Cricetulus griseus: one gene and its partners. The protein of the gene in region 1 purifies or fractionates together with the protein of each later gene. This does not show direct contact. Links are inferred from orthologs where the notes say so. Each region holds a gene or a part of one and is shown in the gene's direction. Other genes may lie near its edges. The genes, in order: Mcrip2, Atxn2 and Ddx6.

Region 1 (9,873 bases):
CACCTGCCTGTCAAGGACCTCAGGTACCCAAGACCGAGGGACCTGGCGACCGTGGGCCGCTAACTTGAACCCATTGAGAAGCGGTCGAGGTCAAAGTTGGGGAAAGTTGCCCAAGGCGCTGGCCCTCAAGGTCTTCAGGCCCTGTCCTTGCAGAAAAAGCGCACGTGTTCCCCGCTGGCCTTATCAGGTCCCTGCCCTTCACTGACACCCTGGGGCACTGGAGCCCTCCTCCCCAGCCAGTGTCAGGGCCTGTCAGACCCAACAGTTTCCTCACTTTCAGAACTAGCAGTGTGTCCAAGGCCCCAGGGAAGCTCAGGCCAGACTACTTTGGATTTCAGCTACTGTGACCTGGAAATGGTCCCACCCCTTCAAGGCTGAACCTTATACTTCTTTGGCTCAATTTACTGTTTCCTGTGACAATAGACTTTGCTCCTGATCGCTGCAGGCATGTAGGCTTTTGGGCTCAAGATGCTGGTATAGGTGGCATGTGACCAGCTAAGGGCCCTAGGCTCTCAGTTGGGGCACAAGTTGAGGCTAATCTGTAAGGAGGCCAAGAGTTAGACTAGCCTCAGCTGGAGAGTCGGTGTGGTGAAGTCTACCCCATCTCTCAGCTACTGGGCTTCAGATGCCATAGGTAGGAGACACCTGTGTGGGACTGTGTTTGACATTCTGGCAGAATTGAGGGCTTCCTGCTACAGAGGCATGTTGGCAACTCTGCTACATTCTGGATGAGCAGTTCCTAGGGGGCTTCCTGATGATATCAGTTTATGTCCCCGTTGCCCTTATGTCTCTGGGAGGACTCTATGGTGCAGGTGTGTAACCACAAAGTGGTCAACCAGACAGGGAGTCTGGAGCTGGAATAGCCTTTTAAGTCCTCATTGTTGGGGGACAGCAAGGACAGGTTTGTGGCAATATTGAGGGTGATATCCATGAGGAGGACAGTCTCCAGAACTCCATAAGTTGCAAGGGACACCACACTGGCTATTTACTCTAAATAGGAAGTTAGACTGATGTGGAGGCCTCGAGTCACCCATCAGTGGCCAGTTAAAGCACCTGAAGCGTGAGGGACAGTGATTTCAAGTACTTCTAGGCTCTGGGAGCTGAGGAGACAGGGCAAGGTGTCCCCCCTACTTCCTCGAGGTTTCTGGGGAGTTGCTCCTTCCTTGACCCCATACTGGTAACTTCCAGCTCCTATAGGGATTCCACAAATACATCTACATCTAATCTTTTATCTTCTCAAGGCCACCCTTCAAAATCTGTGTTTACTACCTTCCCGTTCTTGTTTTCCCTGGAGCTTTCCTCAGCTACCATCTCTCTGACAAGCTCTAGGAGAAGGGAACATGGGAGGCGCTGGTTATCCTCCTGCTGGCATGTGGCAAAATCTCAAATCTTTCAACTCACTAAATAGTTGGGTATAGGCGCTGCCCGAGATGATGGTCAGATGTGACATCCTTTGTCCTGGCAAGAGACAGATGGGAGAGACTCGAGATGAGATCATATGACTGATTACCTGCCCCCCAGAAGTAGATGGAGCAATGAATGAATGTTCAGGGACCACTAGGCAGAAGAGAAGTGGGCCAGAGTCAAAGTTGTGAGCATTGGAGTCAAAATACTGCTAAATCTTAGATTGACCACCTTTGTTGCATGACACAGGCAAGAAGTTTCTCTTCCCAGTATGAAAAATGGGTGACCAGTCACCTTGAGGGAGTACATGAGAGGAGGTCTGTGGGGCACTATGGCCTGGCACTGCAGTCACTGTTCCCAGGAGTGGGTACAGGTGCACTCTGGGACTTGTGCCCTTTCCCCTACAGAGCCTTGTCTTACATAACCATTGCCTCCAAGCAGGGGTGGGGCCGGGCTTAGCTTTGGGTTTGTAGCCCTTGCCCTCTGGGTCAGGGCCACCACCTTGATCTAGTCACAGCCCCTGGCTGGGATTTCCTTCTTTTAAGAATCAGAGTAAGCCCCAGGTAGGCGTGGTAGTACACACCCACCTGCATCCTGGTACTTAGGACAATTTCTGCGTGTCTACACCTTGCTTCAACAAAACAAAAACATTCATGCAAAAAGAATCACTGTCCAGCCCTCAAGCTTTCATCATTTGAAACCTTTTGAGGTATAGAGGTGGTTGTAAGCAAAGGGGGATTTCCATTAAGAATGCCTTCATGCCAAAAAAAAAAAAAAAAAAAAAAAGTGTAAGCTGGGTGTTGGTGGCCCACGCCTTTAATCCCAGCACTGAGGAGGCAGAGGCAGGCAGATCTCTGTGAGTTCGAGACCAGCCTGGTCTACAAGAGCTAGACAGGACAGCCTCCAAAGCCACAGAGAAACCCTGTCTCGAAAAACCAAAAAAAAAAAAAAAAAAAGAATGCCTTCATGCCCTCTGGTTCACCAAAACCTCAGGTACCCAATGGGTCTGGGAGGAGTCCTGCCTCCTTGTGGTTCCCACCTGCACATTTAAGATTTTCTGTAGCCACCAGACCCTGCCAGCCCTGGGACTGGCAGGACCCTGTGCCCCTCAAGACCCTCCTCTTTATTTTAGTGCCCCTCTCACCTGAGGAGGAACCCAGAGCGGCGTGGGCCACCTGAGCCCAGGAAGGCGAGCAGGCCTACCGGGACCGCGAGTGCCTGGCGGAGTGGCAGGTGCAGCCCAGGACTCTGGCTCCCACCTCCTACTGTAGGTGCGGCCCTATTCCCTCCATGGCTCCACCCCAGGCTTCATGAGCACAGGGCTTGGCCAGTTGCCACCAGCCAGTAAACTGGAATGGCACATTCCTGCCCTGACCTGGGCCTGCTTAGCTGGGAGGGGTTCAGCCACCCCTCACCCCTGAATATTGAATGCAGCACAGAGCCATGGGAGGGCATCTCATTCAAGTTGCCCCTTTTTTCTTGCCTTGAGGAGTGGGTCCTCCCCAGCATTCTGTGCTCATCTCCCTGGGGGCAGCCAGGGAGAGGGAAGGGCAAATCCTGATCCATCCTTATTTGGTTTGTTTTCCAACAGTGGGGGTGTCATTGAGGTGACTGGGTCTGTGGGGCATCTCTAGATGGAAGGGGTATCTGTGCCCGGTGGGTGGGGATGGACTAGAGTTCTGATCAGGCAGAGGTTAAAACCGGGCTCCTGGAAGCCTGCCTGGATGGGAGTGCAGAGGAGCACTCTGTGGGTGAGGAGTTAGGAGTGCAGAGGAGCATTCTGGGTGAGGAGTTAAGAGTGCACAGGAGCACTCTGTAGGTGGGGAGTTAGGAATGCAGAGGTGGAGTATTCCGGTTCCCTGCCAAAGGTCTGGTTAGAGAGCTGGGACTCTTTCTGACTTGCAGTCACTCAACCTTCCCTGGCCCCAGGGGCTACAGGTGTGAGCTGAACTGCAGAAAGCTCAGGGTCTGCAGCAGAGAGGCCTTGTCCCACAGCAGCTGAGGGCACTGCTCTGTGACTAAGGAAGGATCTAGTTTGGGTCTGTGCCTGTGCAGGTGCACTGAGTAAATACTGAGGCTGCTCTTGAACTCTTCAGAATAGCTCCTGGACCTGGCTGTGCCAACTGTATCTCTCTCCTACCCTCTCACAGTTCAGGGCCAAGGCTTGTGTTCAATCGAGTGAATGGCAGGCGGCCCCTCACCACACCCACATCCCTCGAGGGAACCCAAGAGACCTACACACTGGCCCACGAGGAGAACGTCCGATTTGTGTCCGAAGGTAGTAAGGGACCAGGGGGTGTGACCCTGGCCGCAGAATCCCAGTAGTGTGGACCTGGCTCTGCCCTGTCCTTCCGCACTATAGCCTGACTCTTAGCAGCCCAAGGGCTAGACTGTTCTTTGGCTTTCTGCCTGGTCATGTCCATTCCTTGAACTGGGCTGGAGTCCAAGGTGACCACCAGATTCTGGGGTGGGAGGGATATCAGGGGCCTGGTTCATTCTAACTGTCCTTCCCTCACAGCCTGGCAGCAGGTAGAGCGACAACTGGATGGCGGCCCTGCCGATGAGAGTGCCCCACGGCCTGTGCAGTATGTGGAGAACACTCCTGATCCCCGGCTGCAGAGTGAGTCTTTCCTCATGCCCTACATCCCTAAAGAGTCCTCTCCACAAGGTTCTAGCCCTAGGGGATTAGGGAGGGAAGTTTTGGGCCAGACTGTCCGTCCGTGTCGTGTGTCCCCCCCCCCCCCCCCGCCTTTTCCATTGAGTACTATACTAGGAGTCCAGGTTAGGACTGTGGTCAGCTGGAGGGCAGAGGTGCTGTCCAGTTTGGAAAACAGCATCACTGCCCATCATCTATTCTACCCACAGACTTTGTACCTATTGACCTGGATGAGTGGTGGGCACAACAGTTCCTGGCTAGAATCACCAACTGTTCCTAACACCTGACCAGGAAGGAATGCTGCCATAGTGGACCCTTTGTCCGAAGAGGACCATGGTGCGCCGGTCCACCTTGTGGCCTGGCTGGGTACCGGCCACACCTGAAGTGCCAACATTTGGACTTTTGCACCTGTTGTTCCCTTGGCTTGGCTATCCCAAGCTGCCAGAGCCAGAGGCCAAACCTGTCTAACCTCAATCCTGCTCACTGTGCCCAGGGACCAGCCCCTGGGGCTGGCAGGGAGGAGCCCAGGCTAATAAAGTTGAAAAACTGCCTTAGAGTGTCAGTGCCTGGGGAAACGGGGGGGGGGGGGGGGGGTGTTGGGTCCACCTATCCACCTCTGTTTCTCAGTCTCAGACTCTAGACTCCCCCAGCCCTTTGCAATACTCAGAATTTGTCTTGACCCGGCTTGTCTCAGCTTTAACCCATGACAGCCATGAGGTTCTACCTGAGTGGGGGGGTGTGGACCTGGAAGCTCCTAGCAACCCAAAGGCGATAAAGATCAAACACAGGCATCTTGTCATCTTCAGAGAGCTCTCTTTATTAGCCATCTTTTCTGCTGTTTCTTAACCATCCTGCCAATACCACGAGGAAAACCATTTTCCTCTTTGTTCTCTCTCTGCTCTGGCTGCTTGCCTCTCCTCCTTCCTAACTTTCTGTCCTCACAAGTTATTCACACACCTCTGGCTCCTCTGTCCAGGTGAGGGCCTACTCAGATGCTTAGGCGCATAAAGATGCAAATTAGGAGGCATATTACCCTGAGGCCATGGTAAACAGTATTAGCTTTACTGGCATTAACAATACAATAGTGTGCCGGAACTTTCTGGTGCTCCATGTTTAGTGAAACCAAAGCCGGATCTCAAAATAAAATCCGTAGCGGAAAGACTTTGGTCCCCCACAATTCCTCTCTCTTAAATTAATAAAAAGAAACCTGTGCTTCTGCATCAGGACAGATGACTGTGCCTGTTTTAGGAGCTCCCTTCAACCTACACCAGGGGTGCCCGTCATGGAATCACGCATTCCATCATGCGTGTTCTGTCTTAGGATTCCCTGAAGGCAAGGAAAACCCTACCGTCTTTGGCTGAAACCAGTCTCTGTAAAACAAATAAGGTTAGTGGAGGATGGGCCATAGTCCTGCTCCAAGTGTTCTGAATCAGCAAGAAACCTACAGGAGAAAAGCATCTCAGCTTGGCAGCAAATCTTCTGCGGATGAAGACATGTAAAAGTTAAAATGGCCTTTTTAAAATCTGTGGCAATGCCTCTAGTGCCTCTGATACGGACCTTATTAAAGTTTGCTCCCTAAAACATATTTCTATCCTAAGGCTTGTAAACTGTACGTTACATTCCTGTAAGAATGAGCTCTGACTTCTAGTTTCTAATAACAATTACATAACACATATAGCAAGATTACAAACATTAACAATTCCATCATGAACATACATTAGGGTGAGTTACAAAGCAATCAAAAGACAATAAGATATTCTCACAATCTGTGAGGTGTGAACAATTTCACAATTGTAAACCCTCTTTTATTCCCTACCTGGGACTCAATGCCCCTAGAAACTTATCTATTTTTTGCTCAAAGTCCGAAGTTCTAACATCAGGTTTGTAAAAACAGTCTTTGAAAGTTAACTAAAAAGTCTTTTGTCCATTTCTTGTTTAAGCATTGTGAAGGAGCTTCTGCCACTTTGGTTTATGCCAGTATCCGACTGTCCTAAATGGGTCCTTTTTCCCAATGAGAAAACTGGCAAAACAGTTTTGTGTGTCTGTTTGTGGCAAGAAAGCAAGCTGTTTTTTTATCAAGTTCTTAGTCTGCTCCTGGATGAGCACTCACGGATTCGGAGAGGTGAATGTAGCCCGTCTGTAGGGAGGCTGGAACTCTGGAAAGCATCTCGAAACTGGAACTGGGTGTGTCTCCTTTCTTCCTCCGCTGTAGGTCAGATGTCCTCAAGGTTCAGGAACACAGGTCCAGTGTTTCACTCCAGCTGTTTCAGATGGTCCCCTGTGGGCCCAGGTCCCATTTTTCTCAGTTCCATGCATCTCACCAATCTTTCTGGTAGCCAGTGCACCTCGTTCTCCTCCTGCAAGAAAACACAGACATGCCCTCGACCCCCAAATAATTACGGGGTCTGGTCCCCTCTATTTTTCTCTCCATTTGACCTGAGCAAAATTTGCTCGAGTTCCTTCATGCCAGAATCTGTCTGCATCAGATTGCTCATTGGCATCCATATTTAAAAAGTTTAAGATAAACAGTGTGTGATTTAACGCATCATGTGGAGACTGGGGGCACAGCTCCCCCCTTTTTGTCTTAGAAGCTGTGCTTTAGGGCACTATGGGCCCGCTCTCTTATTCCTTGTTCTTGGGGATATAAGGAATACATGTTTTTTGATCAATTTTCCATTAATCACAAAATTGCTGGAAAGCTTTGCTAGTATATCCAGACCCATTATCTGTTTTTATAACTTTTGGCACTCCCATGTAAGCAAAACATCTTAAACAGTGACTTATAACATGCCTGGTGGCTTCTCCTGTTTGTGGAGTGGCACATTTTTAACTTGCCAAACTCTGTAATGTGATTCACATCCATTCGCCATAAATGGTTGGGGAACAGGCCTTGAAGATTCACCCTTAAATTAGCCATAGCCATATTGTGGACATATTCCACATTGTTTGATGATTTGACCAGCAGTCTCTCTGGTTAAGCCAAATTTCTTTCTTAGACTTGCTATTATGATGAAGAAAGTTACAAGCCTGTCGAGCTTTTTATATTTAAGGCAAATCAACCAATTTTGTTAATTAGTTAATTCATTCCCTTTGGCTAGTAATCAGGGAAAGGCCTATTTAATAGGTTCCCAGTGTGACCCATAAACATGATAATTCTCTTAGGTGAATAACATTTTGAATTTGCTCAAATCAATCTAATATTGGATCCTATGTATGGAATTGTCTCTATTACCTCAAGATCCTTAAAGACATAGTGACTGTCAGTATACAAATTAAATGAATTATTTACCAGGATCTGAAAGACCATTGCAACAGCTTGTAGTTTGATTATTTGAGCTGAAGCCAGAGCTGTCTGCTCTATCCATTCCTTTTAATTAATAATCTATGTAAGTGACTCTCCCAATAGAACCATTGGTAAAAATTAACATAGCATATTTTTATAGGACTGTTTTTTTGCAATTTTGGAAATACAAAAGGATGTATTGGTGCAAATTGTAACAGTCCATGAGCTAGAAACTGATTATTGATTCCTCCTGAAAACTGAGCAAAGACAATCGCCAATCGCCCATGACTCATTGTTCTGAAACAACCAATTAAACTGTTGCTTAGTGTAGGAGACATGTATCATACTTGGTTCTCTCCTAAAATACTTCTTAGAATCTATATGGCATTTCTGTACCATGTGGGCTAATGCTTTAAAATAAGGGTTTAAAATATTTAGGCGCAACCATAGTAATGGTTCCTTCTGCCATAGCACTGAAGTCGGACTATGCTTTGTGGGGAGTACATAAGCTTCCCATGGTTTTGTATAGTCAATATATCTTGATGATGCTGAATCATCTCCTCTAATTATAGAACTTGTCTACCTTCTTAGCTGTCTGGGTACATCTGGATCATTATCTCCTTATAGAATCTTACTTAAAGGATTTAAATCATCATTAGATGTTCCAAAAAAGATACTTAACCAATGAATATTTTATAACAATTTCTTAAAAACTCATTTAAAGATTTTAAACTATCTTTTCCAATTGCTATCTATTAAGCCTTAATTTCTTTAGAATACAACATGTCTTTAATAATTCTCCAGATTTATTTAAAGTTTCTGAGTAGCCTTTTCTAATCTAACCTTCGAAGCTGACAAGCTGATAAGACCTCATTAGCATCTTAGCTGACCTGGCTTAATTTGCATATGCAAATACACAATCAAGCTGAGAACCTAACAGGTTGGCTCTCTCCTGAGGCTTTTCACAAACCCTTATTAAAATCATGTATCAACTTTTATTTTCTAGATTTCCTTTTTTAACCATAAAAATTTAGCAAGACCTGTATCCTCTCATCTGTCAAATTTTACAGAATCATCCATAGATTCCTCATGTCTCTAAGCTAACGCTATAGGCTTTTGCTAACCTTTTAATTGACTATTTCCTAGGGCTCAAATCATAATTTTTCCTGTTAAGACATTGACTGACTTACTGGATGCTTTTTTTGACCATATTAAAGTGATTCTGATTGTTAGACCCCCGAAAACCCAAGTTTCCGGGGTCTCAGGCCAGGTTCGCGGTCACCCCAATCACCAGGCGGATTCGAGAGCTTGCTGCAAACTGCACGAGGCTTTATTGTAATTTAACGAGCTAACCCTATGTTAGCTCGGGTCTTTCACCCACCTGCCATGGCGGACGGCTAGAAAAGACGGCTCCTTGGGTCTCCCAAAAGATCTTATAGGGCAGCGTAAGGGGAGTGTCTAGGGGTACGCACAGGCTCACGATTGGTGTGCCTCCAGGCTTGGAGGGCTTGCCCTGTGTTGATTGGTCAACTGGTTGTTATGGCTCATAGGCCCTCCCAGGGTGGTTGCTATGCTCTCTACGTCATTGCTGTGCGCTTGTCTGTAAAGCACACCCAGGGTCGTAAAGCATAGCGCCACCAGCTAACTTCCGATTGGCTCCTTGTCACAAGACAGGCATCTGACTTTCTAGTGTCTAGGTCAAGGTCATAGAAGCACATGTTCGACCATTATGGCTGCCAAAAGGGAAGCCAGTTCCTTCATGATATTTTTAAAACTATATCCGAGGCAATGTAAATATCTCTCTAATCATATTCAAGGCAATTTAGACATTTCCATTCATCCGCATTCATAAATTCATAATCCATCACATATCCAGGTGTGGCCACACCGTTCATTCATAACTTGCATATGTCTCACATTTCTCCTTTTGCCTAGGTTATGATAAGTTTGTTGAAAAGAAAAATCCCTAATTGAAATTTCTAACATAGTAGCTATAGTCAATCATTGATATATGAGCATACAAAATTTGAATAATTCTAAGCTTAAATATGTTGCCCTTTCTCCTCTATAAGTCTCAAAAACAGTTTCTGTCTGGCTGTATCAATAGCATTTATATACATAGATTAGGTATCAGTCATGGTGCCACCTCCCAAGGCTGTAAGTTACCACGAGAAGGCAGGCTGTCCGCTGCCCCATCAGCCATTTTTTCTAGCTTGCCGCAGATGCCTGCACGAGGTGGCACCAAGCCGCTGGCTGAGGGCCGGCAGACTTCGGCTGCTGCCACGGCTGACCTTGGCCTTAGCTCGGCTATGCCCTCTGGGCCGCTGAAAAATCTACGGCTGTATCTCGGGCACAAGGCTGATCCCTTATTTTCTCTTTTGTTGGGACTCTGTCTGACCTGGAGCTCTTCCTGAACATGTCCAAAGCAACCTCTAGAAGGTTCTGTGCATTTCTTCCTCCCTATGCCTTGCTTTTGAAGGAACCGGCTTCCCTTTTGGCAGCCATAATGGTCGAACATGTGCTTCTATGA
Region 2 (10,713 bases), on another chromosome or scaffold:
GTGAACCTGAATGAGAGAGAGAGGACACGTGTACATGTGGAGTCCTGAAGACAACTTATGGGAGTTAGTTCTCTTCCTTGACCACTGAGACATCTCTCCAGCTTTAACCTGTCAGGCTAAGAGAGGTATGTGGCAAGCCATCTGTTGATACTTGCCTCTGAAGATTCTGCTGTATTTGCCCCAGTTCTTCCAGGGTGAAGAATGCAGTTTCCTCCTTCACGGATAGAGGGTTACAATGCTAAGGTTGGAAGTTAGGGCAGTGGGGCCCATAGCTGTTGCTGAGATTCTTTTGCAGTTGTTCATGGCAAACACTTCTAAAACTTGGCTTGTGTGGTATAAATCCCACTAGCTTTCCCATTGCTTTATGCTGTCCTTCCTTACCTGCCTAGGGGAATGGACAGTAGCAGAGTGTGGTATTCTGGCATGGAAATCCAGTAGGAAAAATTTTGGCTGCTTTTCCTTTCCCAAATGTTTTGGGCTATCAAAATGCACCTCTTGTCATTCTAAGACCCAGTTTAGTGATAGAAGTTGTGCAGAAGGCTGTTAGCACAACTGAAGGAGAGAGAACTCTGACCCAAGAGGCCCTGGATTTATGATGTGACTGGATGCTCTAAGTTTTCCTTATATCCTCTCAGATAACTCATGTAACCACCTACTTATCTAAGAGGATGATACTTTTGAGAAGAGTTTTTCCTAAAGAGCTGTTGTTTTGTTTTCTTTTTGTTTTTTGAAATGGGGCTTTTTTTTTTTTTTTTTTTTTTTTTTTTTTTTTTTTACTGTGTAGCCCAGGCTGGCCTTGAACCAAAACATCCTCCTGTCTCAGTCTCCTTAGGTATGACAGGTATGAGTTATGTCTAGCCTTCTTTAAAATGTTTCTAAAAGCAAATTTGCATTTGTGACAGGAAGGTGTGGAGTTAGGTCCTGCCAGTGCAGTTTGTTAGATGTTATTGCAAAAATTGGTTGCAGCTGAATTAAAAACTGGGATTTTAAAAAATGACCTTTATTTTCTTTCTAGTCTAATGGATGGGATCCCAACGATATGTTTCGATATAATGAAGAGAATTACGGTGTAGTGTCCACATATGATAGCAGTTTATCTTCGTATACGTAAGTTCACAAAGTTCTCTTTTAGCTAATTTTTGTCTACATCAGCTTAAATTATGTTGTTGAATTAATGTCTGTTTCATTTTAAATTACACATCGAAACAACAAGAAGAAAACTGACACTGGTGGCATACACCTTTAACCCAGCACTCTTGAGTTTGAGGCCAGCCTGGTCTACAGAGTGAGTTCCAGGTTGGTCAGGGTTACACAGAGAAACCCTGTCCCAAAAAACCTAAATAAATAGATAATAAATAAACAAACCAAAAGATGTGACATTTATTTTTGTTAACTATTTAGGCTGACAAACTCATATTAAAACAGGGAATAGATACAGTTTTTTTTCCCCCATACCTTGTTTTCTGGACAAAATACATTTTGTCTTTTTTTTTTTTTTTTTTTTTTTTTTTTTTTTTTTTTTTTTGAGACAAATTTCTCTGTGGCTTTGGAGGCTGTCCTGGAACTTGCTCTTGTAGACCAGGCTGGTCTCGAACTCACAGAGATCCGCCTGCCTCAAGAGTGCTGGGATTAAAGGTGTGCGCCACCACCGCCTGGCCCTTGTCTTTGTTTTTAAATTGTAAAAAGGTTAAATTTATAGGGATAGGGTTTGCATGAACCATTTCTTGAAATAGTAAATGTTCTATGTAACAAAAAATGCATATTTTAATTTATTATAACAAGTCTCTGATGACCCCATGCACTAAACTTTCTTAATAGTTGTGTGTGACGCATAACATGAGTGTGACATTGAAGCAATCACTTCTGTCTTCTTCTCTTTGTGTTTAGCGTTCCCTTAGAAAGAGATAACTCAGAAGAATTTCTAAAACGGGAGGCAAGGGCAAACCAGTTAGCAGAGGAAATTGAATCCAGTGCTCAGTACAAAGCTCGTGTGGCCCTTGAGAATGACGACAGGAGCGAGGAAGAAAAATACACAGCGGTCCAGAGAAACTGCAGTGATCGTGAGGGCCATGGCACGAGCTCTAGGTATATAAAGGGAACCACAGTGCAGTGTGTTGGACACATTGAAGGGTTGTATGAGAAAATGTCCTGCATCTGTTTCCTCTTAAATGAAGCTTAGGTAGACAATGCTGATGGGTTTGGTTAAGATTCTATTAGAGAAAAGATTGTGGTCATCTTGATAGGATCTTTTGGAATTCAGCTGGAGTCTAGTGTTGAAGACACTAATACCCAGCCCAGACCCCAAGGAGCTCCTTAAAACAAGATTCAGAGGGACTCAGTGACCTGGTGACATTGTACTCTTTTTCAGGGTGAAAGTGTGTTCAGAGTACTGGGGATGTCTAGAGTGAGAATGCCCTAGAATTGCATGTGTAGTTCAAGAGCCTTACCAGGTGGTAACGTTTGTAACAGGATAATGGGACCTGTTTGCCACTGGCAGTGAGGGAAATTTTTTTCATCTCTGTAGACACATAACCCTGTCAGAGTCTGGCCTCTTCAGGCGAAGGCTAAGACCCAGGGTCAGTATTTGTATGTCATTGTGGCAGATGGCAGAAGCACTTGTGTGCCATATTTGAAGAGTGGCTTGTAGGGAACAGTGAGGAACAAACATGCTCTGAGTCAGAGAGTTTTCTCTGTGTAACACTGTGCAGCTGAGAGAAAGCAGTTAGCTGCTAGACAGACTCGCTGTGGGAAGGCTGGAAACAAGGAAGGCTTGAGCCTTACTTGGAAATTCAGCTTTTACTGATGCTTCTTCTGAGAGCATGTGAGCTAAAAACAGTGTGAAGTGAACTTGTGGGGAGAAATGATTGATGACTCAGGGTTGAGTGCATTTGCTGGGCTTGTAGGACTCTCATTTATTCATAAACATGTTGTTGAACATCTGCTACATTGTGGGTAAAGCACAAGCTGCATCCTGTCTTCAGGGTTTCACAGCTGACTTTTGTGATTTATCTAATCATCATGGAGTGTCAGGGAGGATGAGAGTGAGCACAGCTTGTTAAACTGCTGGTGGGAAGAGTTACAATGCCATGAGACAGTGTGGTGGCAACTGAGCCTTATGTGAGAAAAACTCTTCTACCTGGTGTTCTGTTAGCCCTGTACTTTTTAGCTAGCATAAATAATTTAGAGGTTCTCTTATTTCTAGGGAAAGTAAATATATTCCTCCTGGACAAAGAAACAGAGAGGTCATATCCTGGGGAAGTGGGAGACAGAGCTCACCACGGATGGGCCAGCCTGGACCAGGCTCCATGCCATCAAGAGCTGCTTCTCACACCTCAGACTTCAACCCGAACTCTGGTTCAGACCAAAGAGTAGTTAATGGAGGCAAGTATTTTGACCAGATTATATCTAAATATTTAAGAGTTAACATACTGGATAGGAATGTGCATGCCATTTTTTTTTAATCTTGTAGAGTAGTTTTTAATATAACTGAGTCTTGTTTTGTGGCTATCAGATAGTATGACATCATATGTGTCCTTGGCACATTTAGAGGGACACCATGGTCCTGAGCTGTTGCATATCTCTCCTACTCATTTGGCCTAAAAACACCTCACACACAAATTGGAAACTCTTGAAGAGATTCTCAGTTTTTAAAAAAATGTGGTTATTTAGGCATAGTTCATGTGGAAGGCACCTCAGTAAATGCAGATTCGTTTTTATTAACTGATAGATTTCCATTCTGTTCATGTCAGGGAAGATCTTAGGGTTATTTATGAGCAAGAGTCATGTGAATAAAATCATGCTAAAAATACAGCACAGAACCTTTGGTTTCTGAGGGCAGGTGTTAGAATGTGGCTGCTTGGATCTCTAGTAGGAAGGCACTTCTGTAGTGTCTTCTGTCAGGTGAATACAGATTATAGATGTTAATAGAAATCTGGTAGACTGAACAGCAGAAATGAATTATATGGCAATATTGTAATTGACAGCAATAGTGTGTTGTTACTGAGGGAAAAGAATCGACAGCCAATTTCAGGTGTTGAAGGTTAGAACAGTGCAAGCTAGATGAGGAGGTTCACACCTGAGGCGGGGGGATTCCCAATCTAGGCTACATTGGGAATTTGAGACCAGTCTGGGTATTAGGAAACCTTATCTTGAAGGAAGGGAGGAGAGGAATTTCAGATGTAAAAACAGGGAACACTAACATTCTAGTTTCATTTGTTTTTGCTGAGTCTTCTCCAGAATTCCTCTCTAAGTAAACATTTGAGTATTTTCTCTACCTAGTAATGGTGGTGGAAATTTCTTTGTTCACCAAGTAAAGATTTTCATTTGTTTGTGAACAGAATTTTCAAGTTAAAAACTTGAAGGGGGCTGAAAAATATGTGATACTCTAGCATGTGGAGCCCCTTGGAAAGGAACCCTGGACTATTGGCTGAGCATCAGGGAAACGGTCATAATGCCTGGCGTGTTGTCAGGGCCTGTGCCCTGCAGTTTGCAGGTCTTCACATTGGTACAGCGGGGTGTAAATAAGTGGGGCACTTTCTAGTGGGTTGAAATGAGATTTGTTTTACAAAGCACCCAGTGCTGTTACTCCAGCATTCTACAAAACAATAGAAATAAGTTCTTATTTCTACCTAAATGGGACTTGGTTAGTGAGCTTTGAAACTGATGGTTAGGTTCAAATGCAGACCTGATGAACATCTCAGGTGAATGTAAGGAAACAGTTTTTATAATGGCTTCAGAAGCTGCTATTTCTTTTTTATTGTTCAGAGCTAAAACCAGTGAAGGAGATGCCCTTCCTGAGCAGAAGTGACTGGTTTACTGAGGGAAGTTATCTATGTGTGTGACTTTATCTTTACAAGTGATGGCTGAAAGCAGCTGAAGAAGTAGGGCTACTAGGCAGAGTCTTAACTGTCTTCTTCAGTAGTATGTGTAGATCCTAATTAACCCTTTGGGAACGTGGATTCATTTAAACAGACTTAATTTTAAGGAGGTTAAAGTAAAATGTGAATCTGTGTCAGTTAAGTTATGCTAAAACTTATCACAAATCAAATGACTGTCCTCAAAGGGTTAAAATGTACAAGAAATCATTTTTGTCATTTTACTTTTTTTTTCTGTTTACTTTTTCCCTCATTTTTTTCTTTAGTTTTTATACTTTCCTTCATATCATTTGTTCTGTCAGGTGTTCCCTGGCCATCGCCTTGCCCATCTCCTTCCTCTCGCCCACCTTCTCGCTACCAGTCAGGTCCCAACTCTCTTCCACCTCGGGCAGCCACCCCTACACGGCCGCCCTCCAGGCCCCCCTCGAGGCCATCCAGACCCCCGTCTCACCCCTCTGCTCATGGTTCTCCAGCTCCTGTCTCTACTGTGCCTAAACGCATGTCTTCAGAAGGTACAATACCACGATTTGTTCATGTTTTTTGTTTGTCTTTGTTTAACTCCTTTGTGAGTTTATGGTTACGAAGTAGTTTCCTCTTCATTATTTAATAACCTATAATTTCTGTGTTTTAACTTGAGTTTATTAAAACTATTTCTATTAACCTTTTGTTCACTAGAGTGAAACTTGTTAAGTGCTGTGTATAAAGCTCTGCACTGTCCTGGATGTAAAGATGAGATCTGACCTGTCTATAATGGCGCTGCTTTCAGCCCAGTAACAGTGATGACCCCACCAGGGCTGTGACCCACTTAACCGCTTCAGTGCTTGGGTGGATACAGCCCTGCCATGGTGCCAGTGAACCTTCCTGTTGGCCAAAGGCAGAGTACTATTTTGGGGTCTTTTGTATTCCATGATATTCCTTATAGTGGCTTTGTATGTCTACCCTCAGGTAAAAATAGTTTTTAGAGTACCTGAGGAACTGTAAATTTAATTGGATAATTACTTTTAAATTAGTTTTGCACGATGGTTATAGTGATAGGCTACTTTAATGGGGAGGCTTTATCTAAAATTTATCAATTAAAAAACATGTATAAATTTTTTTGTCTTTTTGCTCTTGTCAAAATTGTTTGTTTTTGGTGCTAAATTCACTATTGTTGCATGTCATACACTTTGAATGGTGGTACATGCCTGGGACATAGGCAAGAGGATTGCCAAAAGTGAGATCAGTTTGGCTTTTCATGAATTCTAAGCCAGCCAGGATGATATGGTGAGACCCTGTCCCAGTCACCCCAATATCCTGTTCCAAAAAGGTAGCATTCTGATTTAATGCAATTTATAAGTTAAAAAAAATGTTTTGTTTTAAATGACAGTGTCCTTTGAATTCAAAATATTTCTGTTAATGTTCTAATCAGATTGTCTTGGTAAAGTCATGATAAATATAACTGATCAAGACTGATAAAATTTCCTGAAGAAGCTGCTTGGGAGTAAACTATATTGGCTACTTTTAAATTTTCACCCAGGCAGAAGGGATTTTCATAGCTGAATATTGAAATGTTGCAAAGGCAAATTTCACTGACATTTAATGCTTGCCTCTTGTAGTGGTCCCTAGCAACAACATGGATCTCTGTTGTAGACCATTGGGGTAAATGTGTTTATTCTATGAGAATACCTTAGATAAAGAGCTGTGAGCATAAGTGAACTGTGAGCATCGAATTGCAGTCAGATAAGAGGGCTGCTCCTGGACTGTCCACAAAAAATGCTCTACATTGTTCTGGGGTGTTGGTACCTCTAGGTGAAAGCCCTAACAGTAGGCTGGCTCTGGCTAAAAGTCCTTGCCACGAAAGCCTGATGACCTGAGTTTGGTATCTGGAACTGACTCCACAAAGTTGACTTCTCACACATGCTATGGCATATACAAGCACACACCCCCCATACCATAAACATAAAATATTTAATAAATTAAAAAAATAAAGTCCTGACATTAAGAACCATTTTCTCAGAGATCATGTCTGACTATGTTCCCACTGAGAACACAAGGAGAGAGCATGTGTTAGGAGCTATACCTTAGACTCTGAGAAAGGTAGTTCTGGGCTTGTGTTTTTAGTCAGTGGCTTAGTACTACATAGCTGATGGCTGTAGACACAACCATCCCTAATGGCTGGCACAATCAGTGATGTAGTGTTAACAGTGCAAATTTCTGCCAGATGTCCTTCTGGTCTTACGTGGCAGCATTTATATGTGAGGACTGCCATAAGCCATGATTTGTAACTTGATGATTGTGGCCAAAGAGAATTGAGGTTTCTGTTTAAAAAATACTCCTCCCCACCCCCCAGGCCCTAAAGGATATAGCTCAAAGATAGAATGTTGGCCTAGCAAGTATGGGGTCCCTAGCACTGCAAAAAACATTTTTTTTTTTTGTCTCATTTTGGAAGTAGTAAAATTGGGTAGAAAGGTAAAGTAAGAATGACTTATAGTGTAGCTGTAATTCCTATTAAAACATTATTATAACTTATTCTGTAGTTTATACAGTGTTATGGTGTGTTGTTTGATTTATCGCCAATCAATCAACTCTTATATTTCCCATGCCTCAAAAATAAAGGGAAATAAGGCTAGGAAGGTCGGTCAGCTGTATGAAAGCTTCTGCTTTTCCAGAGGACCTGAGTTCAGTTCCCAGCACACCCTCACACAAACACATAGACAATATAGTCAAAAGTAAAAATAAACCTTAAAAGGGGGAAATAAAATATACTTAGATAATTGACATCCCACAAGATAATTCTTAATGTGGCCAAAATCAGAATAGTGTGGTTTTTTAATTTTTTTCTTCAACCAATGAAAAGCTATTAGGGAAGTAAGAGTATATATCTGTATTTAGTAAAAAAAAAAAAAAAAAAAAAAAAAAAAAAAAAAAAAGCAAGGTGAACACTGCAGGACTTAAACAACGTCCCTTGTGTCTTCCTTAGGCCCTCCAAGGATGTCTCCAAAGGCACAGCGGCACCCTCGGAATCACAGAGTCTCTGCTGGGAGAGGCTCCATGTCTAGTGGCCTAGAATTTGTATCCCACAACCCCCCAAGTGAAGCAGCTGCTCCTCCAGTGGCAAGGACCAGCCCTGCAGGGGGAACGTGGTCCTCAGTGGTTAGTGGGGGTAGGTATGACACCGTGACAGTGCTGATTTTGTCATTATAGTACAAACATAATAGGGCTCAGCTGAAGATCTGAGGAAGAACTTTCGTTAAATATGGTGGCCTAAGTAGGAGTTGCCAGTTATAAAATATCTCAGATACTCTTGACAGTAGTTGAAGGTACTGTCCCATTATTCTGGCAACTCTGTCCCTGCATTCAGTTTGTAAACATGTTTAGACTTACCGAAATGTTTTTCCATGGCATCTATGTGTGGAATGAATAAACAGATACTCATCTTGTGATCTTCCAAGTCTACATGAGTAGCCTGAGAAGAAGCTGTCAGTAGCTGTAAAGATCAAGGGTCCTACTTTGAGCAGATTGAATTAGGCCCAGACTGCTGCACTGTTGTATCGGTCAGTCTGCAGTGTTTCCTCCCAGGACTGCAGAACTAGAACCTGTTCCCGCTTTGCTGTTCATCATTACTTTTTTTTTTTTTTTTGAGACAGGGTTTCTTTGTGTAGCTTTGGAGGCTATCCTGGAACTAGTTTGTAGACCAGGTTGGCTTTGAACTCAGAGATCCGATGCCTGCCTCTGTCTCCTAAGTGCTGGGATTAAAGGCATACACCACCAACGCCTGGCCATTACTTTTCTTAATTAGCCAGTAGACCTTTGCTAGAAAGAGGTCTTTAAGCTTAAACAAAAGCCCAGTACTGTTAAATGTCTTTTTTTTTTTCCTATACCCTTGAATAGTGCAATCGTAGTAGCTGCCCTGTAAATTCCTTTGCTGTTTCCCTTGACCTTAGCTGAAGATTAGAAAGAAAGTAGAAGGTGAGAGAAGAATCTTGAAGTGTTGTACTCCTTTGACATTAGTTGGAAGTAAAAGAAGAGTGACAGTTGCTAGAGATAACACTGAGAATCATGTTACAGGCAAGTTAGAGTAGTGAACGCTTTCCTTCTATGATGCTTGTGACTTCACAAAGAAAAATCACTAAAGTGATGGAAATTGAACCATTTTCATTATGCCCTTGAGTCTGAACTGTGCAAATAGGTTTTTATTGGACAATGAAACATTAAACTTTTTTTTGAAGCATTCATTCATTCATTCATTCATTCATTCATTCATTCATTCTGTGTTAAGAGACAGCTTTAGGCTAATTATGTCCTAATTTACTTCAGCATTGGAACTGGATCTTCATGTTGCAAGAAAAAGTACATAGGCTGAGCAGCAAGCTACCAAAGGGGTTTTACTTACTGTGTTGAAGGAAATAGACAGGTGTAGTCTCTCTCACACCTTAAAAAGTAACTTAGTATTATTGATGTCTTTTTTTTTTTTTATTCCCCTTAGTAATTTATCTTGGCATTAAACTTTGCTGTTGAGCTTTAATCAGAATACTTCAAAGTTAACACATTTAATTAGGAGTGAAAACATATTGGTAATTTCTGTCATATTTCTGAGAACTTAATGAGCATCTTTTTGCTTCTAGTTCCAAGGTTATCTCCAAAAACTCATAGACCCAGGTCTCCCAGGCAGAACAGTATTGGAAACAGTCCCAGTGGGCCTGTGCTTGCTTCTCCACAAGCTGGCATCATCCCTACTGAAGCAGTTTCCATGCCTGTCCCAGCTGCATCTCCTACTCCTGCCAGCCCTGCATCCAACAGAGCTCTGACCCCATCTATTGAGGGTATGAAATGAAGATCTTTCCTATTGTAACACTGTAAGACCAAGAGCTATATTCAGAATATACAGTGGTGTTTTTATGGAAGCAAGTTAGCTGTGTATAATATTTCTCTTCCATGTATATTATTTAATGTGGTATCAGACAGAGGTTCTGACCTGCTCTGGTGTGACACGCAGGGAAGAAACTCTATTTAGTGGATCTTTTTTCTCCTCAAACTAGAATATTAGAAGTGTTTGATTTTTTTTTTGTTTGTTTGTTTTTATTTTAAAGATTTATTTATTTATTATGATTTATTATGTGCACAGTGTTCTGTCTGCATGTTGCCTGCAGGCCAGAGGAGGGCACCAGATCTCATTACAGATGGTTGTGAGCCACCATGTGGGTGCTGGGAATTGAACTCAGGACCTTTGGAAGAACAAGCAGTGCTCTTAACCACTGAGCCATCTCTTCATCCCCCATGTTTGGTGTTTTCTCATGTTGTTTTCCTAACTTTGTCTGATATTTTCCTTCTAGCTAAAGATTCCAGGCTTCAAGATCAGAGGCAGAACTCTCCTGCAGGGAATAAGGAAAATATTAAAGCAAGTGAAACATCACCTAGCTTTTCAAAAGCTGACAACAAAGGTTAGAGTTTGTTAAAGTTTTTAGACATAATTAAGAAGTAGAACAGTGTTTAACTAATTTCATGCTCCATACTGAGTGCCCTCCTTCTGAAATCTATTTATGTGCAATGCATGTGATAATAAATACCACGCAGAATGGATATTTGAAGTTGTTAGTCTTCGGGTGATAGGTCTGTTCTCATTTCTTATTTATCTCCCTTCCCCCACTTAATAGTAAAGCCATTAAAGGAGTGTGCCACCACTCCTGGCCTCTGTTCTCATTTCTTATATCTCATACTAACAGAGTTTTAAGTTTAAGGTCAGAAGTAATTTGGAATCTAACAGGTTTTGGTTTTACAGGTATGTCACCAGTTGTTTCTGAACATAGAAAACAGATTGATGATTTAAAGAAGTTTAAGAATGATTTTAGGGTAAGTTCTC
Region 3 (10,713 bases), on another chromosome or scaffold:
TTTGAGAATTCCATTTGGGGAACAGTTTAAAATGGAGGAGGTTGACCAACTCCTTGAAATAACTGTTACTTAGACTTGGTACTCGGTGATTTGGGAGACTTTTATTAAAACCACAATTTTGTTTAGCCCCCTGTCCCCCCCCCCCTTAGCAACAGGAAATTTCTTTTTTCCTTTTTTGAACCGAGTTTTTGTTTTTCTTTTGGTTGCTGTTTTTTTTTTTTTTTTTTTTTTTTTTTTTTTTTTTGAGACAGAGTTTCTCTGTGTGGCTTTGGAACCTGTTATGGAACTAGCTCTGTAGGACCAGGCTGGCCTTGAACTCACAGAAATCCACCTACCTTTGCCTCCTGAATTTTGGGATTAAAAATCCTGTGCCACCACTGCCTGGCAAACAGTGTTATTTTAAATTAGGATATACTTTATGAAAAATGTTATTGAAAGGCAACATTTAACAGTTTTTAGTATTGAGGTGTTTTTGCTTTGTTTTGTTGGTAGAGGGGGGGTTTTCGAGTTTTTTAAGGACAAGATTTTTTGCTTCATACAGGTCTTTTAATGGCTTCATATATTTTGATAAGAACAGAAACGCAATTGCATTACTGTCAGAAAAAGTGTGTGAAGTTGGACTCCTTGTAAATTGGGTTTTAAGGCAGTTTCGCGATTGACATGTCCTTCCTGTCTCTAGTAGTGATTTGGCCTGAATGTGGCTGATCATGGCACTTTAGACGGACATTCCGGAGGAGTTTTTTTAAAAGGGAACAACTTTCCACCCTGACATTGCTGTTTGCTAATTTAATTTTTTTCTTTGTTTCAGATTGAAGTGAGTGAATTCAGATATAATTAAAGCTTGTTAGAGGGCTTTAAAAAAAAAAGTTGATTTGGTGCATGAGAGCAAGTTAACTACTGCTGCTTACCGTTCAGAGACTTACAGGTGCTTGCCTGAATTGCAATAAAGGACTCACATACTGAGCAAGACTTATTTATCTCTTCATTTTGGAGAGCCTCATAAACTGTTATTACAGTTTCTCTACTGACTTTCAAAAGTTTTGAAGTTTGAAAGAGACACCTTTGCAGTTAACAAAGCATGAGCACGGCCAGAACAGAGAACCCTGTTATAATGGGTCTGTCCAGTCAGAATGGTCAGCTGAGGGGCCCTGTGAAGCCCAGTGGTGGCCCTGGAGGAGGGGGCACACAGACACAGCAACAGATGAACCAGTTGAAAAACACCAACACAATCAATAATGGCACTCAACAGCAAGCACAGAGCATGACGGCCACTATTAAGTAAGTTCTAGAAGAAAAATGTGGAGACCCACAGTTCTGTTTACTTTTGTTGTTGACCACTTTATGCCTTAAATTAACCATTTTGATTGCAGATGGAGGGCAGATGACTTTTGTTATAATCAGTAGGTATTTGTAATAGAATAATGAATGTATTTCTGCTGTAATTAACTCAAAGTGGTGAATATAGGCATTTATAAATTACTATGTTTAGAAATAAATGTGCTGTTTGTATAAAGGTGAATAAAATGGTCCCCATTCTGTTGGTTTTTGAGAAAGGCTTACTTTGTAGCCCACTGTGGTGATCTTCCTGTTTCAGTCTCCCAAGTATTAGGGTTACAGGTATGAGCCACTACACCCAACTTTTTTTTTTTTTTTTTTTGCTTCTAATGTCACCACTGCAACTTGCCCTAGTTTATACAACAGTTAAGGCTATTTGAAAGTTTGAGAAAGAAAATTTATTTAAAATAACAAAATTTTATGTGCATGGGCTTTTGCCTGCATATATGTCTGTATGCCACATGCATGCCTGGTGTCTGTGAAGGCCAGAAGAGTGGGTTGAATTTGCTGAAATTGGAGTTGCATATGGTGGTGAGCCTCCTGGTGGGTGCTGGGAATTGAACCTAGGCTAGTGCTCTTAATCAGCCCCCCGACAAAGCAAATTTAATGATTCATACTTTTTATTTTTTAAAGACAGGCTTACCAGGTCATGGTGACGCACGCCTTTAATCCCAGCACTCAGAGGCAGAAGCGGGTAGATCTCTGTGAGTTCAAGGCCAGCCTGGTCTACAGAGCGAGTTCCAGGACAGCCAAGGCTACACAGAGAAACCCTCTGTCTTGCAGGGGTGGAGGAAGAGAGGAAAGAAAGGAAGGAACTGTCACTCTAAAGATTGATTTATAAGGAATTAGCACTTAAAACTTTACCTCAGTGGAAATTGGGCTTCTGTTAAAAATACAAAAGAAGTCTTCCCTGGCTGCTAAAATGTATAGATTATTGGTAGTCAATTCACTGTTGATCTCTAAGAATACCCGATGTTTTGTTTTGATACAGGTCCACACTATGTAACCCTTTAGCTTGGAACTCTGTATATAGACTGTTCTCAAACTCAGGGATCTACCTGCCTGTGCCTCCCAATTGCTGGGATTAGCACAGTGGAATTGGTTTTAACTAGTATAAAAAACATTTTACAAATTATAGTTTATTTTAACACAAACAGGCAGGCAAAATTTAGGCTCCTTTCAGTTCCTAAGGGCAGATATATACTTCATTATGAAAGTATTACTCAAAATTTTTGATTTGAGATAACAGTTTTTCTTCTGGGATTTTCTGTGTCTTAGTGTGTCATTTCTTTGAAGTGTTCTGGATTTTGTCAGCTGTTTCAGAACTGACTCTTCAGTACTTATCTCTATCACCAATTTTCTCACTTTTAAGATATATTTGTAATTTGTGGGCCAGTTTTTGCATTATATCTTATATGTATTGTTGAATTTGACTGTGTGGCAAGCTATTATACTGGGTTGTTACCTGGTGTTTTTGCTTAGAAAGTTCAGTGATTAAAAAAAAAATTCAGTGGTTTCTGCAGAAGCAGAGGATCATGAGTTCAAGGGCAGCCTGGTCTATATAGCAAGCTTTCATTTAAATTTTAAAAAGAAAAAAAGACTCTGCTCTTTATGCAGGCTCTAGCTTTAGATAAATGAAGCTTGGGGTGAAAGGACTGGGATGTCCAGGAACAGATAATGCTAAGTACTAAGTTCTTACTTTGTTAGTACTGACTGTTTACGTAAATTACTGTTAGCTTTTTTTTTTTTTTTTTTTTGGAGGCAGCCCAGACTGTCCTTCAAGTAGCTATGTAACAGGGGTAACCTTGAACTCCTAAACGTACTACTTCCACCTCCAAAGTGCTGGAATCACCTGGTGAATGTCATCGTGCCATCATTATATATGTTATTGATTTAGACACCCAGTTTGTATATGATAGTATAGAGGGTTGGGGAAGTAATTGGTGCGGCATCATGGAAGGAATAAGGAATAGAATCGAGACTTAACCCCTGTTAGAAACGTCAGGACTTGTGTGGTTTTGTATGGTGTGTTGAGTCACGGTCTTTCTGTTGTTCAGACTAGCCTGCAACTACCAGGCTCAGGTGGTCTTTCTGCCTCATTCTCCTGGGTAGCAGGGACTGCAGACACTCTTGGTTTTAACAAGAATCAGCTAGTTACCAGAAGTACAGGCTTGGATGACTATAGGGTACTGTGCTGATTTAGAAAGTACTTACTGTTTAAAAGCATCACCTGTTGATATTAAGTTCTGGTTACTAAGTAGCCCACTGGTAACTCCTTGGCTTTTCCAAGGACCTGGGTTCAATTCTTATCATTAAAAAAGAAAAAATAAAAAGTTGCAGTTACTGTTACGGTACAAGAACTTGAAACATTATTGCCAAAGTGTCTCTGAACTGTTGTGGATTTGGCATTTTTTCAAGAAAATCTAGAAACTGAGCCTTTACATGAAATCTAGATGTTAAATGTTTGTAGCTAATTAAAAAGACTAGTAGATCAGATAAGATGTGTTTGACAAACACTTGTACTAAGTTCATCCTCCTTAGATGATTTCTCAAAGAACATGTTTCCTGAAGTTAACACTTTTGTTAATTAAGTGCAGGGAATGTTAAACTTAAGTGCTTTTTAGAGAGGTAGTACTATTTGAAAGGTTTCATTTGTATTAACAGGGAAGCTATGAATTGTGACAACTATGTTTACTATATTCTCTCTAGACCTGGTGATGACTGGAAAAAGACTTTAAAACTCCCTCCAAAGGATCTAAGAATCAAAACTTCGGTAAGTTGGGTTGTAGAATTCAAAAATGGAAGGAAGGGGCAATTACAAGTAAAGTAATTGAATGAAATGACACCATGTGTTTAGTCCTTTTGTTATTTTTTGTTCTATTTTGAGAATAATGTCCTATATAGTCCAGGCTTACTATCAGTGTTCTCCTTCCTTAGTCTTATTAGTGCTGGGAGTATAGTTAGGTATGTCCCATCAGGCTAGCAACTAGATTTTATTTTTGAGCATCTTTAGTTTTTCAGATAGGGTTTCATTCACTATTTAGTAGAGGCAACATATATATTTAATCTTAAAGCAATTTGAAATGATTGAAACTGTATGGTTAATAGGTATTAGATTGCTTTAAAAATTCATATATATATATACATATATATATGTATATATATATATATTAAGAAATATGCTGGCTTGTGGGTGCCCATGCATGTGTGTTTGCATGCATATCTTTTTGTTTGTTTGTTTGGTTTTTGTTTTGTTGAGACAAGACTTCTGTGATTGCAGGCTGGCCTCAAACTTAGATCCACCTGCCTCTGCCTCCAGAGCTCTGGCATTAAAGGTGGACGCTACCCTACCACCCCACCCCCAGCTGCTATCTTTACCTAATTTTCTCAGTTTTTTTCCCCCTCAGCCTCTCAGTGCTATATTCAGGTTAGGTATTGTATCCACTATGTATGAATGTGTTCAGAGAAGTTCTTTATCCCAATATTCTCAACCAAGGGTGATTTTTGTGACACTTCTTGTAACAATAGCTAGAAGTATTTTTTGTTGCCAACTTGGGATCCTTATAAATAGCCTCAAAACACCAATGTCAGCCTGGCCACAAATGTCAAAGCTCTATGCTTGAGAAACCCAAAGACATAGCCAAAGATATTGGTAGCTAGTGAGTAGGGGAACTGGGGTTTTATTTCATATCTGTAGTTAATTGTATGTTATTTATGTAGAAATATTCTGCCTTAGACTGATCATAGGTGCTTTCCCCAAAGCTCCATCTTTAAGTGATGTATATTTGTTGAGTTACTCTCCAGGGAAAGTTGAAATAGAAATTAAAACAGTAGTAATATGCATTTTTAAGCTGAAGTGGATAAAGGGTTCAGGTCTGTTACTTTTTTTTAAAGCATGCTAACTATGAAAGAACCAGGGTTCCATTTTATTTTATTGTTTGTTTCATTAGGATGTGACTTCCACAAAAGGAAATGAATTTGAAGATTACTGTTTGAAACGGGAGTTGCTAATGGGAATTTTTGAAATGGGCTGGGAAAAGCCGTCTCCTATTCAGGTATGTTTACCCTTTTGGCTACATGAAGGTTATGTATCATGCATTATACACTTCAGCAAACATTAAAATACTCATTTTATAACTGGGCAGTGAACTCAGAAGGCAGAGGCAGGCAGATAGATCTCTCTGAGTTCCAGTTCTTGGTCTAGAGTGACAGGACTACAGAGACCCTGTCTTGACAAGAAAAAAAATTACATGGATGGGTGTTTTGTCTGCATATTTGTCTAGTACCTCTAGAAGCAAGAAGGGAGGGCCTCAGACCCCCTAGAACTAGAGTTAACGATGGTTGTGAGTGAAGCTACCTGAGATAACCTGTGAAGATGGTTCGATACTCTCTCGACCCAGAAAACCCTACAAAATCATGCAAGTCAAGAGGTTCAAATCTCCGGGTTCACTTTAAGAATACCTGTGAAACTGCCCAGGCCATCAAGGGTATGCATATCCGAAAAGCCACCAAATACCTGAAAGATATCACATTGAAGAAGCAATGTGTGCCATCCCAGCAATACAATGGTGGAATCAGCAGGCGCCCAGGCCTGGGGCTGGACACAGGGTCGGTGGCCGAAAAAGAGTGCTGAATTTTTGCTGCACATGCTTAAAAATGCAGAGAGTAATGCTGAGCTTAAGGGTCTAGACTTAGATTCTCTGGTCATTGAACACATCAGGTGAACAAAGCACCTAAGATGCGTCGACGAATTTACAGAGCTCACGGCGGATTAGCCCATTCATGAGCTCCCCCTGCCACATCGAATGATCCTCACGGAAAAGGAACAGATTGTTCCAAAGCCAGAAGAGGAGGTTGCACAGAAGAGAAAGATATCCCAGAAGAAATTGAAGAAACAAAACTTACGGCACGGGAATAAATTCAGCATAAAATAAATGCAGATAAAAGTTAAAAAAAAAAAAAAAAAAGATGGTTGTGAGCCACCATGCTGGGAATTGAAATGCGTTCCCTGGAAGCATAACCGGTATTCCTAACTGTTGAGATATGTCTTTAGTCCCTACTTGATTTTTTTGACGTGTGGGAATAGTGTAATGTGTGTTTGTATACAGTATTTTTCTGTACTTTTAGTGTTTTTTTTTTTTTTATACAGGGCAGCTTCTAGTCCATAGTAGCCTCAAATTAAAAGTTAGCTGAAGCTGGCCTTTGAGCTCTTGTTACCTCAGCCTCTCAAGTCTAGGATTACAGGCAAGCATCACCATTCAGTTTTGTTTTGTTTTTTTCCTTTTTGGTTTTTCGAGACAGGGTTTCTCTGTGGGTTTGGAGACTGTCCTAGCTCTTGTAGACCAAGCTGGTCTCGAACTCACAGAGATCCTCCTGCCTCTGCCTCCCGAGTGCTTGGATTAAAGGCATGCGCCACCAATGCCCGGCTCATTCTCAGTTTTTTCTTGAACTTTATATATCTTTTTTTATGTGCATTGCTGTTTTGCCTGCATGTGTGTCTTTGAGGGATTGGATCCTAGAGTCACAAGCAGCTATGACCTGTCATGTGGGTTGCTGGGAATTGAACCCAATTCCTCTGGAAAAGTAGTCAGGACTCTTAACAGCCATCTCTCCAGTCCCTTTCTTGAACCTTTTGGGGTTGTTTGTTTGTTTGTTTGAGACAGGGTTTCTCTGTGGCTTTGGAGGCTGTCCTGGAACTAGCTTTTGTAGACCAGGCTGGTCTGGAACTCACAGAGATCCACCTGCCTCTGCCTCCCGAGTGCTGGGGACTAAAAGCATTCACTGCCGCCGCCGCCTCCTGGCCATCTTGAACTTTTACAGGTTAAATTATAGAATCACTTCATTAACTTGTGAGTCTCTTGGTGTATATTTCCTAAGAATAGGGATTGTGTGTGTTGTGAGCTTTTTTGTTGTTGTTGCTTGGTGGTTTCAATGTTTATTTTTATATTTTATGTTTTTTGTTTTGTTTTGTTTTTGGATTTTCAAGACAGGGTTTCTCTGGCTTTGGAGGCTGACCTGGAACTAGCTCTTGTAGACCAGTCTGGTCTCGAACTCACAGAGATCCACCTGCCTCTTCCTCCTGAGTGCTGGGATTAAAGGCGTGTGCCACCAACGCCCAGTGTGTTTTTGTTTTTTGGTTGTTGTTTTTTTCCCCTTCTCTCTGTGTAATAGCCTTGCCTGTCCTGGAACTCTATCTCTCTGTAAACCAGGCTGGGATTAAAGGCATGGACCACCAAGCCCAGCTGATTTATTTAATCTTATTTTATGTGTACAGGTGTTTCGCCTGCATATATGTCTGTGTATCCCGTGCAGTGCGTTGGGGGAGGGGGGTAGACAAGGAAAAGTGTTGGATCCCCTGGAACTGGAGTTAAAAGTGGTTGTGAATGGCTATGTGGATTCTGGGGATAAAACCTGAGCTCTCTGGAAGAGCAGCAAGTGTTTATTTTAATAACACCTGAGCCTTCTGTTCATTGCCTTTGTTTTAATGGTGTGTGTGTGTGTGTGTGTGTGTGTGTGTGTGTGTGTGTGTGTGTGTGTACACTCACCCGTGTTTGTTCATGGTCATGTTTATATTTGTGTGTAGGTTAGAGAACAACCTACTTCTCTTTTTCTACTAAGTAGGTTCTGGGGATCAGATTCAGGTTGTTGTACTTAGCATCAAATACCTTTATCTACCAAACCATCTTACTGGCTCTGTTGTTTTTTAAGATAGGGTCTCATGTATCCTAGGCTGGCCTCAAGCCCTGTGTAGCCAAGGGTGACCTTAAACTTCTAATCCTTCTGTACAAGAGTGTTAGGGTTATAGACTTGTAAATTTTTGCTCAGTTTATATACTGCTGGGGATCAAAGGCAGGGTTTTGTGCATGCTGGGGGAGCATTCTACTAATTGAGATACATCTCCAGTCTCTTACATTTATTTGTCTAAAATAAATGGAAGGCTGGCTCATTGTTTAAATAAATGGAAGGCTCAAGTCATGCTTGTTCAGCAAAAATACTGCAAAACTCATGTAACAGGTTTCTCAGGATATCAGATTTGAAGGTGTGTATAGTCTTGATTAGTGATGTCATGAATTTGGATTGTCTTGTCCAAGTGTTGTCTGATTTTTTAGCTCTATAATGGATGATGATAACTACTTTTTGCTCCCTCCCTTAAAACCAGTTAATATTCTAGAAAATATTTAAAGACCAAACAAATCCATTCTCTCTATCAAACTTTCCTGGTTATTGTAGTTTTTTAATTATCATCCTGAATCTTGATCTCATTGGTCTGGGTTGTAGTGAGTTTCTTGTAAGTTTCAGCTCAATTGATCCTTCCATATTTGGCCCCTATAAAGAACTTCCCCTTATGTGTGCCTTTAAAAGAGTATTTGGGGTTTGTGATGTTAAGACTTGAACTCAGGACCTTGGTCATGCCGCCAAACACTCTACCACTAAGATGTACCCCAGCCTTTCTCCTTCCTGCTTCATGTATATTTGTGTGAACTCAAGATTTTTTTTTTTAAATCATATTTTTGTGTGCTCAGGTGTCACAAATTTGACTCCTTTTAGGGTGGTTCATATATGTATTTTGTGATAAACTTCATTTTTATTGAGCAGTTCCTTTTGGTGTAACGTGTTAACTAGAATTATGTATCTTATGCTTATTATTATGCTCTGACCTTGGAATCTATGGAGTACTGATTCTTACTTGGTTTTTCAAGACAGGATTTCTTTGTAGCCCTGGCTGTCCTGGAACTCTCTTAAGACCAGGGTGGCCTTGAACTCAGATCCTCTTGCTTTTGTGTAGGCCATCACAGCTGGCTGAGAACAGATAGTTTTAATAATACATGATGGGTACCTTTTTAGTTGGAATTAGTTGCATTTTATATATCCAGGAAGATAGGACAGCCTAGAAGTAATCTTCTAAGACAGTGGTTTTTAACCTGTAGGCCATGACCCCTTTTTTGTGAGGGGAAGGGGGGGGGTCGAACAGCCTTTTCACAGGGTTGCCTAAAATCATTGGAAAACACAGAGGTTTGCATTATGATTCATAACAGCAAAATTACAGTTATGAAGTAGCAACAAAATAATGTTACAGTTGGGAACTGCCATAACCTGAGAAACTGTATTACAGGGTGGCAGCATTAGGAGAACAGTGGTTGAGAACCAGTTGTAAGTGATCACCCAAAGGTGAGAACGTGGGTGTTACTTGTTTGTGTTTTGACACAGGGTCTCCCTTGTGTATTCCTGGCTGTCCTGGAACTCACTGTGTACACTAGGCTGGCCTTGCCTCTGCTCCTGGGCGCTGGTGTAGACCACCACACCTGGCTTGGGGTTTTGGATTTGTGTGAGAGAGAGACAGAGAGATGACAGAGATTGATTTTATTTATTCATAGACAAAAAGAGGCCTTGTTTACTTCTGGCTGACTTTGAACTCCCTATGCAGCTGAGAATGACCTCAAACTTTATACCCAATATATGCAGTACTAAGGATCAAACCTAGCACTATGCAAAGCATAAAATGGTGATTCTTAGAATCATTCAGAGCCGGTCGTTGGTGGTGCATGCCTTTAACCCCAGCACCGGGGAAGCAGAGGCAGGTGTATCTATGTGAGTTCGAGGCCAACTTGGTCTACAGAGCATGTGCCAGTGTGAGGATAAGCTCCAAAGCTACACAGAGAAACCCTGTGGGGGACCGAATATCTCTGTTATGGAATATTTTAGATCCCAGTCTCTTGCTGCTGTCAACAGTGGTGGCGCCAGGGAGCTCTGGGTCATTGTATTGTTAATTGCCATTCGACTACTACTGTTTATCATAGCCTCAGGGTAATATGCCTCTTATTTGTATCTGTCTGTGCCTAAGCATCTGAATAGGCCCTCACCTGGGCGGAGGAGCTAGAGGTATGAGTAACTTAGGAGGAGAGAAGGTTGGGAGTTAAGAGGCGAGCGGCCAGAGCAGCCTCGTAGTATTAGCAGGATGGTTAAGAAACACCAGAAAAGATGGCTAATAAAGAAATGACTCTAGTTCCACAACATGGAACTGAGAGCTCTCTGAAGATGACAAGATGCCTGTGTTTGGTCTTTACTACCATCACCAAGAATTGTTTCTTAGCCTTTATCAATGAGTATGAGTAGGAATTCTACCTTTTACAGTAGCATGGTATATTATGCTAAATGATGGCTCTTACGATTTTTCAAAAATTCATTTATTATTGTGAATGTGGTCATATGGCTGCCATGATACACATGTGGGGGTCAGAGGAAAGCCTTTAGGAGTTGGCTCTCTTTCCATGTAGGCTCAATTTCTAAGAGAGAGAGAGAGAGAGAGAGAGAGAGAGAGAGAGAGAGAGAGAGAGAGAGAGAGAAAGAGAGAGTGTGTGTGTGTGTGTGTGTGTGTGT

What was found.
Region 2: the proteins of Mcrip2 (region 1) and Atxn2 purify together in Homo sapiens (co-immunoprecipitation; 3 studies listed by BioGRID and IntAct, with this or other methods). This does not show direct contact. The link is inferred for Cricetulus griseus from reciprocal best matches to the Homo sapiens genes MCRIP2 and ATXN2.
Region 3: the proteins of Mcrip2 (region 1) and Ddx6 purify together in Homo sapiens (co-immunoprecipitation; 5 studies listed by BioGRID and IntAct, with this or other methods). This does not show direct contact. The link is inferred for Cricetulus griseus from reciprocal best matches to the Homo sapiens genes MCRIP2 and DDX6.

Annotation. Positions count from the first base shown.
Region 1 is NC_048600.1:45,482,590-45,492,462, reverse strand, and holds the end of Mcrip2 (MAPK regulated corepressor interacting protein 2), read left to right. Parts: intron 1-2,536; coding exon 2,537-2,637; intron 2,638-3,554; coding exon 3,555-3,682; intron 3,683-3,922; coding exon 3,923-4,024; intron 4,025-4,269; coding exon 4,270-4,340; 3' UTR 4,341-4,611; downstream 4,612-9,873.
Region 2 is NC_048597.1:101,624,933-101,635,645, forward strand, and holds part of Atxn2 (ataxin-2), read left to right. Parts: intron 1-1,015; coding exon 1,016-1,107; intron 1,108-1,887; coding exon 1,888-2,085; intron 2,086-3,202; coding exon 3,203-3,381; intron 3,382-5,176; coding exon 5,177-5,386; intron 5,387-7,833; coding exon 7,834-8,016; intron 8,017-9,478; coding exon 9,479-9,676; intron 9,677-10,186; coding exon 10,187-10,294; intron 10,295-10,632; coding exon 10,633-10,703; intron 10,704-10,713. UniProt on the Homo sapiens protein: Involved in EGFR trafficking, acting as negative regulator of endocytic EGFR internalization at the plasma membrane.
Region 3 is NC_048597.1:156,294,695-156,305,407, forward strand, and holds part of Ddx6 (probable ATP-dependent RNA helicase DDX6), read left to right. Parts: intron 1-808; 5' UTR 809-1,078; coding exon 1,079-1,278; intron 1,279-4,044; coding exon 4,045-4,108; intron 4,109-5,285; coding exon 5,286-5,390; intron 5,391-10,713.